Saccharomyces cerevisiae S288C: one gene and its partners. The gene in region 1 interacts genetically with each later gene. Each region holds a gene or a part of one and is shown in the gene's direction. Other genes may lie near its edges.

Evidence for each region. A genetic interaction does not mean that the proteins touch.
Region 2: mutations in VAN1 (region 1) and SKT5 are lethal when combined (synthetic lethality), as found in Saccharomyces cerevisiae (3 studies listed by BioGRID, with this or other methods).
Region 3: mutations in VAN1 (region 1) and CHS6 are lethal when combined (synthetic lethality), as found in Saccharomyces cerevisiae (3 studies listed by BioGRID, with this or other methods).

The regions. Positions count from the first base shown.
Region 1 is NC_001145.3:39,566-43,460, reverse strand, and holds VAN1 (Van1p), read left to right. Parts: upstream 1-1,666; coding exon 1,667-3,274; downstream 3,275-3,895. Other genes in the region: TAF8 (Taf8p), read left to right, coding at 1-1,418; ATR1 (borate transporter), read right to left, coding at 3,637-3,895. UniProt on the Saccharomyces cerevisiae protein: Involved in regulation of the phosphorylation of a number of proteins, some of which appear to be important in cell growth control.
Region 2 is NC_001134.8:104,816-109,179, reverse strand, and holds SKT5 (Skt5p), read left to right. Parts: upstream 1-1,773; coding exon 1,774-3,864; downstream 3,865-4,364. Other genes in the region: Arf family guanine nucleotide exchange factor YEL1, read right to left, coding at 1-1,248; KIP1 (Kip1p), read right to left, coding at 3,959-4,364. UniProt on the Saccharomyces cerevisiae protein: Activator of the chitin synthase CHS3 which polymerizes chitin, a structural polymer of the fungal cell wall.
Region 3 is NC_001142.9:237,650-242,154, forward strand, and holds CHS6 (Chs6p), read left to right. Parts: upstream 1-1,764; coding exon 1,765-4,005; downstream 4,006-4,505. Other genes in the region: 1-phosphatidylinositol 4-kinase LSB6, read left to right, coding at 1-1,437; SAP185 (Sap185p), read left to right, coding at 4,433-4,505. UniProt on the Saccharomyces cerevisiae protein: Member of the CHS5-ARF1P-binding proteins (CHAPS) which mediates export of specific cargo proteins, including chitin synthase CHS3.

The DNA.
Region 1 (3,895 bases):
AAATTCTAAAGAAAACAGTACTTTTCCAGTTGAATTCGTTGAACATCTGCATTTCAAACTTTGCATTGGATGAGCTGGTCAACCTCGTGACCGTCCAAATGGACGGCATGTTTCGGAACCTGCACAATTTAACACTTTTACAAAGAAGGTCGCAAGCTTCTCAAGCAGATTTGAAATTGTTGCTTCGAGAGTTTAACCTGGATGCGCCCTCCCTTTATCAGCAGTTTCAGGCCTCAGAATTCATCAAATCGAAGCATTCCACGGAATATGAAAAATTGATGAGCTGGTCGTCTCTTGCTGCTTTACCGCATAACGAAGAAGATGAAGAGGACGAATTGAATAATATCGAGGAGCAACAGAACGAGATCAACGTTTTGCTGCCTCCCTCTAACCCACTGGAAAAACAGATACCGAGTTGGCTGCCCAACTTTCCGCCTGACCATACCTATAAGTTTACACCTGAGTTCAACCATCCAATTACTGATCTAAAAACCATCAAGAAAGAAATAGTAAAAGAAAGCCAAGAGTCTGAAAAGGCACTATTGAACTTGAACAAAAGTCTCTCCCACATATCATCAGCGTCAAATACCCCGCAACCGCCGGGTTTAGACGATGAGGACGCTATCGAGCAACAATTGGAGATTTGGGGCAACGCGCTGGAAGAAAGGAAACCAACCATAACTGAAAAGTCCTTCAATGAAAACAATATCGAGCAGTATGCGAAGTATAGAGTGGAATTGGCGAGAGAACGTGTCACGAAATTTGAAGTGAATCAGTTGAAAAGAACAAAAAATCCATTCTTGAAAATTTCTGAAACTCTCTACCTTCCAGAGAGTCCTCACCAGTCTCACAAAACCATACAAAAAACCATAGAATTGCAATTTCGTAAGTCTATGACACTATTCATGCACAATTTACCTAAGGTCCAGAAGTTGAAGAAGGAAAAAATACGAATGGCCAAGGAAGAAAGAGCAAAATCGCTAAAACGTCGGCAAGAAGAGCTTATTTCACAACGAACAAAGAGGGAACAAGATGAAGGCCATGATCTTGAGCTTCTACTAAATAACGAGCACGCAAGGGACGCTGCAGACGACACGACCACCCCTAATGCATTAAACAACTCTACCATAGTTATCAACACAAACGCCGAGGATGAGGACGATGACATAAACTTATTTGGCATCTTAGGGAGCAGTGAAGATGAGAATGAAATGTCGAGTATGCCTGCGGAGAACCTGGTCGCGGAATCGGAACCGCCAACAATGACAGCGCAAGATACTACAAATACTACACCTGTAGCACATAACACAACCAATATCGATGCTACTACAAGTCACTCTCCTCATTCGACGCCTAATGAAAACGCCCCGACATCTCCTCCTGCAGATATAGCCACAGATCACGATATAACTATGTAAACAACTGCTTTCAGTGAACCAGTGTTTGTCCCTAATATAATAATACGTATTCAATTTATCTCCGGAGAGGAATTTTTTTTTTTTTTTTTTTTCGTTCTTCGGCGACTATACCGAAACAAGGCTTGAAATATTTAGAATCAAAGAAAGTTTACGTCTTGTAAATTAGTAAATGGTAACGTGAAAGAAGTAGACGTAAGGGTGCAGTAACAGTCATTTGAGCTTGTTGACCTACCAATTAACACAAAAAAATGGGCATGTTTTTTAATTTAAGGTCAAATATAAAGAAGAAAGCCATGGACAATGGACTAAGCCTGCCCATTTCAAGGAACGGTAGCTCGAACAACATCAAGGACAAACGCTCAGAGCATAACTCCAACTCATTAAAGGGCAAATACAGGTACCAGCCGCGCTCCACACCGTCTAAATTCCAGCTTACGGTGAGTATCACATCTCTTATTATTATCGCCGTTCTGTCGTTATATCTCTTTATATCATTTCTCTCCGGAATGGGCATTGGTGTATCCACGCAAAATGGTAGGTCGTTGTTGGGTTCCTCAAAATCCTCCGAAAATTACAAGACTATCGACCTAGAAGATGAAGAATATTACGACTATGATTTTGAGGATATCGATCCTGAAGTGATTTCAAAATTTGATGATGGTGTGCAACATTATCTAATATCACAATTTGGTTCAGAAGTGTTGACTCCCAAGGATGATGAAAAATACCAAAGGGAACTCAACATGCTTTTTGATTCCACTGTTGAGGAGTACGACCTGTCGAATTTTGAAGGTGCTCCGAATGGATTGGAAACACGTGATCACATTCTTTTATGCATTCCACTAAGAAACGCTGCGGATGTATTGCCATTAATGTTCAAGCATTTAATGAACCTAACCTATCCACACGAGCTGATTGATCTGGCCTTTTTAGTCAGTGATTGCTCAGAAGGTGACACTACGTTGGATGCTTTAATAGCGTATTCTAGGCACTTACAAAATGGCACGTTGTCTCAGATTTTTCAAGAGATTGACGCTGTCATTGATTCGCAAACAAAAGGCACCGATAAATTATATCTTAAATATATGGACGAAGGTTATATCAACCGTGTCCACCAGGCATTTTCACCACCATTCCATGAAAATTATGACAAGCCATTTAGATCAGTACAAATTTTCCAAAAGGATTTTGGCCAAGTAATTGGACAAGGTTTTAGTGACAGACATGCCGTTAAGGTTCAAGGTATAAGACGAAAACTAATGGGGAGGGCAAGAAATTGGTTAACTGCCAATGCTTTGAAACCTTACCACTCATGGGTTTATTGGAGAGATGCTGATGTAGAGCTGTGCCCTGGTTCAGTCATTCAAGATTTGATGAGCAAAAACTACGATGTTATCGTCCCTAACGTTTGGAGACCACTACCTACATTTTTGGGAACTGAACAACCATATGATTTGAATTCTTGGATGGAATCTCAGGAGGCACTAGCATTGGCAAAGACTCTTGACGAAGATGATGTTATTGTAGAAGGCTATGCAGAATATCCTACGTGGAGAGTTCACTTAGCCTATATCAGAGATGCAGAAGGTGATCCAAATGAAGCGGTGGACTTGGACGGTGTAGGGGGAGTTTCTATTTTGGCGAAGGCCAAAATATTTAGAAACGGGGTACAGTTTCCTGCATTTACTTTTGAAAATCATGCAGAAACAGAAGCATTTGGTAAAATGGCAAAGAAAATGGGGTACAGGGTTGGTGGTTTACCGCATTATACTATTTGGCATATTTATGAACCGAGCGATGACGATTTGAAGGAAATTGCGTCAAGGGAAAGAGAGAAGAGAAGACAATCAGAGTAAGAATCATGATGACATTTAATATTAATTTAATTTAATTTAATTTTTTGTTTTGTTTTATTTCGTTTTGTTTTTTTGTTCGGTATTGATTTTTCTTCTTTTAATCCTCTTCAATGGATTGAAAAATATATATTATGTAGAGTAAATAAAAGACCTCTTAAGGATAAGGGGTAACCTGGGATCTGGTTACAGTTCAAGGCTTCGTTATTAGGGAGCGAACAATAAAGATTAAAGGGTACTAAAAATTGTACTATTACTAGTTGCATGTTGAGATATGAAGACTTTCAGTGTCTAAATGCCCCATGTCTATATAATCGCATGACAGCGGTGTATTTCTATCTATTTACCTTAATAACCGCTTTCCGCTAAGCCACAGTGCAATCGTATTCTGCAGCAGCTCTTGCCCTGCGGCCTTTTATGAAGCTTTCGACCATGTAAAGCCCGCTAATCATGCATGCTAAACTTGCCAATCCTATCCCAAGGTACTGAGCACCTCTATAGCCTTTCAAAAGATGCTTTCCGTCTGAATTGACCTGTGTCTCTACTGTGGCACCCATACCGAGACACAAGGACATGGAGTAATTGACAACAGTATTCACCAATGACCCAGCCATGCCTTGGTAC
Region 2 (4,364 bases), on another chromosome or scaffold:
AGTCCTTCTAGATGTGTGCTCAATAAGTGTAGTCGTTTTAGATGGTTTTAGCCATCCGAAGAACGATTTGTTTCTCTTAGAGGTCATTTTTGGTGCCGCCACTTGATCTTTGTCTCTTTTAGAATATTTACGTGGTAAAGATTTCTTGCTTATAAGAATTAAATCGTCCATGAACCAACTGGAGCCGTTTTCGGTAATTAAACCGTCATCAAAAGACTCTTTAAGGTAGAGTGCATCCATGGGGTGATTATTGTGAAAGTTTTTATTTGATTTTGCGCTCATTTCTCGTACAGATACTTGACCATCTCTTGAATATAGTGTAGTAGAATTAGAGTTAACACTACGTAAATTTGATGTACTAAATTCCCGTGATCCTAGAGTAGAGAACCTTTTCAAGGAAGATTGGTTATCTGATATATTTATTGATGTTCTAGATTCTGTGCATAACGGTAAAGGCGTTTCATTTAACGTTTTATAGTATTCGGAAAGTTCTTCGATGATCAAATGTTCGCGGGAGTATATTTTCAATTCTTCGTATTCATTTTCCTCTCTTAGTGCCCTCAGTGTATTGTTGATAAATGCAACCATGGAAAACTTAATCTTTTTATGGTCAACTTGAAAGTTGTTGTGCAAATCCGAATTAAGGATCAACAGGGAAAATAAGACTATATGACATGACTTATAGCCTGACTTCCAATGTGTGTTCGGGTGGCAAGCTATCCATTCTATGCTCAAGCACTCTAGTATCCGGTCGATATTTTGCGCTTCTGCAATGAAATATATACTTTTCGATAAATTGAAAAGCGTTTCTAATAGTGACGACGGCAAAGGACTCAATAACTTTACAAACTCAGTCAAGACTTGATTATTGTTATCGTTTCCCAAGAAATTTGCATATTCCTTGTAAGATACATCTTTGAAAGTGCCTTCCAAGATCTCTGAGGCAATAAGATGACTATTCTGATCAGTTTCCTCGGATTGAGTGGAGCTAATATCTTCAGTACCAGTCCCCGCAGTGGCGGTATCCGTAGTAGGTATCACAGGTTTTTCGTCATTAGCAGCTTCCTTGTTTTGTAAAATATCACACATGTTGACCATCGTGGGAGACTGTAGCATATTTTTCATGCTAGTGGGCATCGACTTACTACCATGAAGGACGCCCTCACTTTCACTGAAATTGTCATTGTAGCCCTTTTGTGAGACCCCATAGGTGTCATTCTTTTTTACCTCGTTTAAACTGGCGCACATACCTCTTTGCGATCCCTTAATAGTCCATTGACTGCACAAAATTGTACCATCTAGTCAGCCTTACTGATCTCAAAGTTGATCCGTAAGATCAATGAACCGTCTCTATCATCTATAGATATTTTGCACCCAAACATCGCATTTTAAGTTCATTTGATTTAATATAATACATTTGAACATGCCATCGCACTTAGCTGCCATGTATAGGCCATAACTAATCGCTAATTATTTGTTGCAACTATCTGCAAATCTATACGACATATGTACATATGACTTTCACGAGTCTTCATGCATGTTTTAAGAAAGGTCATCGTTATATTTTCCCACGTTTCACTTCGCGTTTTGACTTGCTAAAAAAAGAACGAAAAATTCTTTCTGCAGACCCTCTCGAGGATGATGTAAGATTTAAGAGTAGAGACAAACTAGGTGTTGGCACTTGACTTTAGACTTGCTGTTAATAAGCCTTCCATTGTATACTACCAGGTTCTCGTCTTTTTTGGTGATAAAGTTAAAATAAAAGGATAAAAAATGGCAAGTTCACCGCAGGTACATCCATATAAGAAGCATTTAATGCAATCACAGCATATAAATTTTGATAACAGGGGCCTACAGTTTCAAAACAGTTCGTTGAAGGTAGGTCAAGATTTTTCAGATAATAAAGAGAATAGGGAAAACAGGGACAATGAAGACTTCAGTACCGCAGACCTTCCTAAGCGGTCGGCAAACCAACCGCTTATCAATGAGCATCTTAGAGCTGCGTCAGTACCTCTACTATCAAACGATATAGGCAATAGTCAAGAGGAAGATTTCGTTCCAGTCCCACCCCCACAGCTTCATCTTAATAATTCAAATAATACTTCCTTAAGTTCTTTGGGAAGTACTCCTACAAATTCTCCGTCACCGGGAGCATTAAGACAGACAAATTCGAGTACATCTCTTACGAAGGAGCAAATAAAGAAAAGAACTCGTTCTGTAGATTTGTCTCACATGTACCTGTTGAATGGTAGCAGTGATACCCAATTAACGGCTACTAATGAATCTGTAGCAGATTTGTCACATCAGATGATCAGTCGATATTTGGGTGGTAAAAATAATACTTCCTTAGTTCCAAGGCTAAAAACAATAGAAATGTATAGACAAAACGTTAAAAAATCTAAAGATCCTGAAGTGTTATTCCAGTATGCGCAATATATGTTACAAACCGCACTGACTATTGAATCTTCCAATGCTCTTGTTCAAGATAGTGACAAGGAAGGAAATGTCAGCCAATCTGACTTAAAACTTCAGTTTTTGAAAGAAGCGCAAAGTTATTTGAAGAAACTGAGCATAAAGGGTTATTCAGATGCCCAATACTTATTAGCGGACGGCTACTCATCCGGAGCATTTGGGAAGATTGAAAATAAAGAAGCATTTGTCTTATTTCAAGCAGCTGCAAAGCATGGTCATATAGAAAGTGCTTACAGAGCATCGCATTGCTTAGAAGAAGGACTAGGAACAACAAGAGATTCTCGTAAGTCAGTCAATTTTTTAAAGTTTGCGGCTAGCAGGAATCATCCCTCAGCAATGTATAAATTGGGACTTTATTCATTCTACGGCAGAATGGGTCTTCCAACCGACGTTAATACTAAATTAAATGGGGTAAAATGGTTATCAAGGGCTGCAGCAAGAGCTAATGAGTTGACGGCCGCAGCACCATACGAATTGGCTAAGATTTATCATGAAGGGTTCTTAGATGTTGTCATTCCGGATGAAAAGTATGCAATGGAACTATATATTCAAGCAGCAAGTTTAGGGCATGTTCCTTCAGCAACTTTGTTGGCACAGATTTATGAAACAGGTAATGATACAGTAGGGCAGGATACATCACTTTCTGTACACTATTATACGCAGGCAGCGTTAAAAGGCGATTCTGTGGCAATGTTAGGTTTATGTGCATGGTACTTACTGGGAGCAGAACCTGCTTTTGAAAAAGATGAAAATGAGGCTTTTCAATGGGCCTTGCGTGCAGCTAATGCTGGTTTGCCAAAGGCCCAATTCACTCTGGGCTACTTCTATGAGCATGGCAAGGGCTGTGATCGTAACATGGAATACGCATGGAAATGGTACGAGAAAGCTGCAGGGAACGAGGACAAGAGGGCGATTAATAAGCTACGCTCAAGGGACGGTGGACTAGCCAGCATTGGTAAAAAACAGCATAAAAAAAATAAAAGTATCAGTACTTTGAATTTATTCTCTACTGTGGACAGTCAAACAAGTAACGTAGGGTCAAATTCAAGAGTTTCTTCAAAATCTGAAACATTCTTTACTGGAAATCCAAAACGTGATCGTGAGCCACAAGGTTTGCAAATTAACATGAATTCAAACACGAATAGAAATGGTATTAAAACGGGTTCTGATACAAGCATCAGGAAAAGTTCTTCCTCAGCAAAGGGAATGTCAAGGGAAGTTGCTGAGCAGTCGATGGCAGCAAAGCAAGAAGTTAGTTTATCAAATATGGGCAGTTCAAACATGATTCGTAAAGATTTTCCTGCAGTAAAAACTGAGTCAAAAAAACCTACAAGCTTGAAGAACAAGAAGGATAAACAAGGTAAAAAAAAAAAAGACTGTGTAATTATGTAAGTACACATACTAGATTGTTTTCATTCTTTATAGGTGCAACAGTTTACACTCAATGCATATAGTGATACAAATATTTTACAATGGCTATATCCCCTTATTGATGAAGTTTTTTATTTTGCAGTATGTCATTATTTTCAGTTTCTTCTCCCTTCAATATTGGCTCGGTGGTAAATCTTCTCTTCAAATTGTTCTGCGATTCTCGTCCAGTACCCTCTGTATTTGGTAAGGTCTTTGATCTATTGGACTTGGCCGAGTTTATGCTTTTCGGTATAAGAACTTTTGGTAGAGGTTGATCAGGCACTGGCACTGGGGTTTTTGGACTGAATTGTGAAAGAGGAAAATTTTCATTAGTTGACAAGTTTGGTATACAAGTACGAGAATTAGATGTGTCGTCTTTGCTCTTATTTTCAGCATCCCTATAAATCTGAAATTGTTTTGGATAATCCAATAAGGGTAAAGCCTTGATTACTGACGCTTCAGGTCTTGTATGCTCATGAAGG
Region 3 (4,505 bases), on another chromosome or scaffold:
GCATATGAGCAGCTCCGAAGAAAAGAAGAACAAGAACAGAGGGAAAACTTCAACCATTTGGTTTCTGACTGTATTGAGGCTGTAGAGACATTTGGACGCGAACTCGAGAGAATCCAAACTGGCTCAAGTGGGTCGTACTTTGTGTATGGAACACGGGCCGACGAAAGCGTTCCGGTGGGGGTCTTCAAGCCCAAGGATGAGGAACCATATGGCCCATTTTCTCCCAAATGGACCAAATGGGCACACCGCACGTTTTTCCCATGTCTGTTTGGCAGAAGTTGTCTGATTCCAAACCTCGGGTACATCTGTGAAAGTGCGGCTAGTTTGTTGGATAGGCGACTGGAAACGCATCTAGTACCCTATACAGATACTGCATCTATAGAGTCTTTTAATTTTTATGATAATAGAAAAAAATGGGTATTGGGATACAACCTTCAGAAGAAGAAACAAAAAAAGCTGGGTTCTTTCCAACTTTTTTTGAAGGAGTACATCAACGCCGATGAGTTCTTTCATAAATACCCATTACCTGGGATGTATTCAGATGTTAAACATTCATTTCATCGTAAGTCATCCGGCGAAGATATCAATCATAAACCAGAGACAACCAGGAACCTAACAGATGAGACAGAACCGTCCAAGCAAATAAATTCCTCTCCAATTTCGACGGAATCTGAAGAAAATTCGAAATTTGAATGGACAGAATCAAGTTTGAGTCAGTTCAGATTGGAACTAGAAAAACTAATTATCCTTGATTATATAATGAGAAACACAGATAGAGGTCTAGACAATTGGATGGTGAAACTAATCAAACTTTCAAACAATAAGTGGAGACTCAAGTTAGCCGCCATCGACAATGGGTTGTCCTTTCCCTGGAAGCATCCTGATGAGTGGCGTCTGTACCCATATGGCTGGTTGTATTTGCCTCTGCAACTACTAGCCAAACCATTTTCTGAGCAAATGAGATCTCATTTCCTACCGATATTGACAAGCACTAATTGGTGGGAAGAGTCGTACCAAGAATTCTTGGCCCTATTTAGCAGGGACCAAGATTTTAACGTCCGAATGTGGAAGAAGCAATGGGCAGTATTAAAAGGACAGGCGTTCAACGTTGTCGAAACATTGAAAGACCCACGACAAGGCCCCTTGGAATTGGTTAGAAGGACAAGGTGCCAGGTAATAGATGAGAAGATGCAAGTTCCCTGTTGCCCACCTCCAGTTTCTATTTTCAAAAACGCCATAGACGAACCTATTGGATCATATTCCACTTCACCAATGGTACTCCCTAGCACCCCAAGCACAATTCCATTTCATGCACATAACCAAAGCAATAGTAATCCTGTATACTATGATTCCACTCTGCACCCATTTGCTAATAAAACAGTGATAGCAGAGCGGCTACAAATAGTCAATTCCACCCCCGTATTCACCTGGTGTTGATTTTTTGGAAAATAATTCAATACATACTCAATATAAAGAAATCATAACTCTACTTTAGCATATAGGAAATAGACTCTTTCGAAAAAACCTCTTTCTGTAGTGTTAGAAAGCAACCGGCTATTATTTTTGTGTGTCTTCGAAAAATCGGAACCCAAACAGATCTTAGCGGATTCATGGTAAAAATAGCCTTGAAGAATTTAGGAAAATAAATAGATACTCAAAAAGGAATAGAGGATCTTAACAAATCATTACATTACTTAACTCACATTAAAAGCAAACACCTTTCTTAAGCTGTTGGTGCAAAAAAGGATTACATCTATTGCCCTTATGAATTTGTTTTGGCCATCGGAAACCAAAAAGCAAAATGAAATACCTGGTGGCGATTATACACCTGGGAACTCACCTTCAGTACAAAAGGGTTATCAATTCCTCAATCGAGACATATTTAAAAGTTGTCCACGAATTATGGAAAGGCAGTTTGGTGAGTGTCTGCACAATAGAACGCATTTAATCAAGGATTTAATTTCTTCTGGCAATGTTGGACTAGGTCCCATTGAGATTGTTCACATGTCCTACTTAAACAAACATGAAAAAGAAGAGTTTGGTGAATATTTCTACGTTACAGGGATCGAAGTTTCCGGTCCTGCAATGCCCGTAGAGTTTCTTGAAGTGCTAAAATCGAGTAAGCGGATTTCCAAAAATATATCGAATAATATCATATTGACTTATTGCTGTTTTAATTTTTTCAGCAATCTAGACATCCGTATTAGATACGATGCTGACGATACTTTCCAGACAACGGCAATTGACTGTAACAAGGAAACCACTGACCTGACCATGACAGAAAAAATGTGGGAAGAAACGTTCGCAAGTTCTGTCATCCGAGCGATAATAACAAATACTAATCCAGAGTTAAAACCTCCCGGTTTAGTAGAGTGTCCATTCTACGTTGGAAAAGATACTATCTCCTCTTGCAAAAAGATCATAGAATTACTCTGCCGATTCTTACCACGGTCACTGAATTGCGGGTGGGATTCTACCAAGAGTATGCAAGCCACCATTGTCAATAACTATTTAATGTATAGTTTAAAAAGTTTTATTGCAATCACGCCAAGCCTAGTGGATTTTACAATCGACTACCTGAAAGGACTTACCAAGAAAGATCCAATCCATGACATATACTACAAGACGGCTATGATCACAATTCTAGATCACATAGAAACAAAGGAGTTAGACATGATAACTATTTTAAATGAGACGCTCGACCCCCTTTTATCTCTGCTAAATGATTTACCGCCTCGCGATGCTGATTCAGCACGATTAATGAATTGCATGAGTGACTTGCTGAACATTCAAACAAATTTTTTGTTAAACAGGGGTGATTACGAACTAGCATTAGGCGTCTCTAACACATCAACCGAACTAGCCTTAGACTCTTTTGAATCTTGGTACAACCTAGCGAGATGCCACATCAAAAAAGAGGAGTATGAAAAGGCTCTCTTCGCAATAAATTCAATGCCTCGTTTGCGCAAAAATGATGGACACCTGGAAACAATGTACAGTAGGTTTCTTACCTCCAATTATTATAAAAAGCCATTGAATGGTACCCGCGAACACTACGACTTGACTGCAATGGAATTCACGAATCTCTCGGGAACGTTGAGGAATTGGAAAGAGGATGAGTTAAAACGGCAAATTTTTGGAAGAATCGCAATGATAAACGAAAAAAAAATCGGTTATACAAAGGAAATCTGGGATGATATTGCGATAAAGTTGGGTCCGATTTGTGGTCCACAATCTGTGAATCTGATTAATTATGTCTCCCCTCAAGAGGTCAAAAACATAAAAAATATCAATTTAATAGCAAGGAATACGATCGGCAAACAATTGGGATGGTTTAGTGGTAAAATATATGGGTTATTAATGGAAATTGTGAACAAAATTGGTTGGAATGGCTTATTAAACATCCGAACAGAAGCTTTCATGATGGAAACTGAATTCTATCAAGCTTCTAACAACATTATCGATGAAAACGGTCATATACCGATGGAATCCCGAAAGAAAAGGTTTTGTGAAGGGTGGCTAGATGATTTATTTTTAGATTTATATCAAGACTTGAAATTGAGCAAGATTAGCCTAAGCAATAAAGATGAAAAACACAGCGGATTAGAGTGGGAACTTTTGGGTTTGATCATGCTGCGTACCTGGCATTGGGAAGATGCCGTAGCTTGTCTAAGAACAAGCATAGTAGCTCGATTCGACCCCGTAAGTTGCCAGCAGCTGCTAAAAATATACCTGCAACCTCCAAAAAATATTCAAGAGGTTACATTACTAGACACAGATACCATAATAAGTTTATTAATTAAGAAAATATCATATGATTGCAGGTATTATAATTATTGCCAGATATTTAATCTGCAACTGCTAGAAAAGCTATGCAACGAATTGGGGACGCATATACTGCGTAATAAGATCCTTCTTCAACCTTCCATAGGAGACGAAATCATGGTCATGATCGATGCCATGCTTGCGTGGATAGCCGACCTAGATCACACAGTACAACCTTGAACAAAACGGTGCTCTTAGTATTATTATATAACCACTACGGTTGGATGGACTGAGGGTAAGGGTAACCGTATACCTTTTATTTTTTTTTTTACATTTTGAACTGGGAAGAAAATTTTTTTTGCGAGGGATTGACGGCTAACGCCAAAACACTCCGAAGAGAATGAGAAAAGCTTGGGCATCGCTCGAAGTCATCGAACGGGACTATTTTTGTTTAAAATTTCACCAGATCTGCTTGATAAGGGTAGTTTAGCTTGTGTATTTGGGAAAGGTACGCAAAAGATATATTTTACTAAGATCTTTAAATATTTTTAGCTTGAGGTAATACATGCTAATTTTAGTTGATTAGAGATTCTGAAAAATTCGTTTTAGTTAGTGTTTAAGAATAGTGGCGTTTATCGTTTTGCCCATTTAATAATTAGGAAAAAATATGTCAGGGTCCTTTTGGAAGTTTGGACAAGATTTTGGTTCACAGTCTCCATTAGCTAAACTGTTGAACAGGG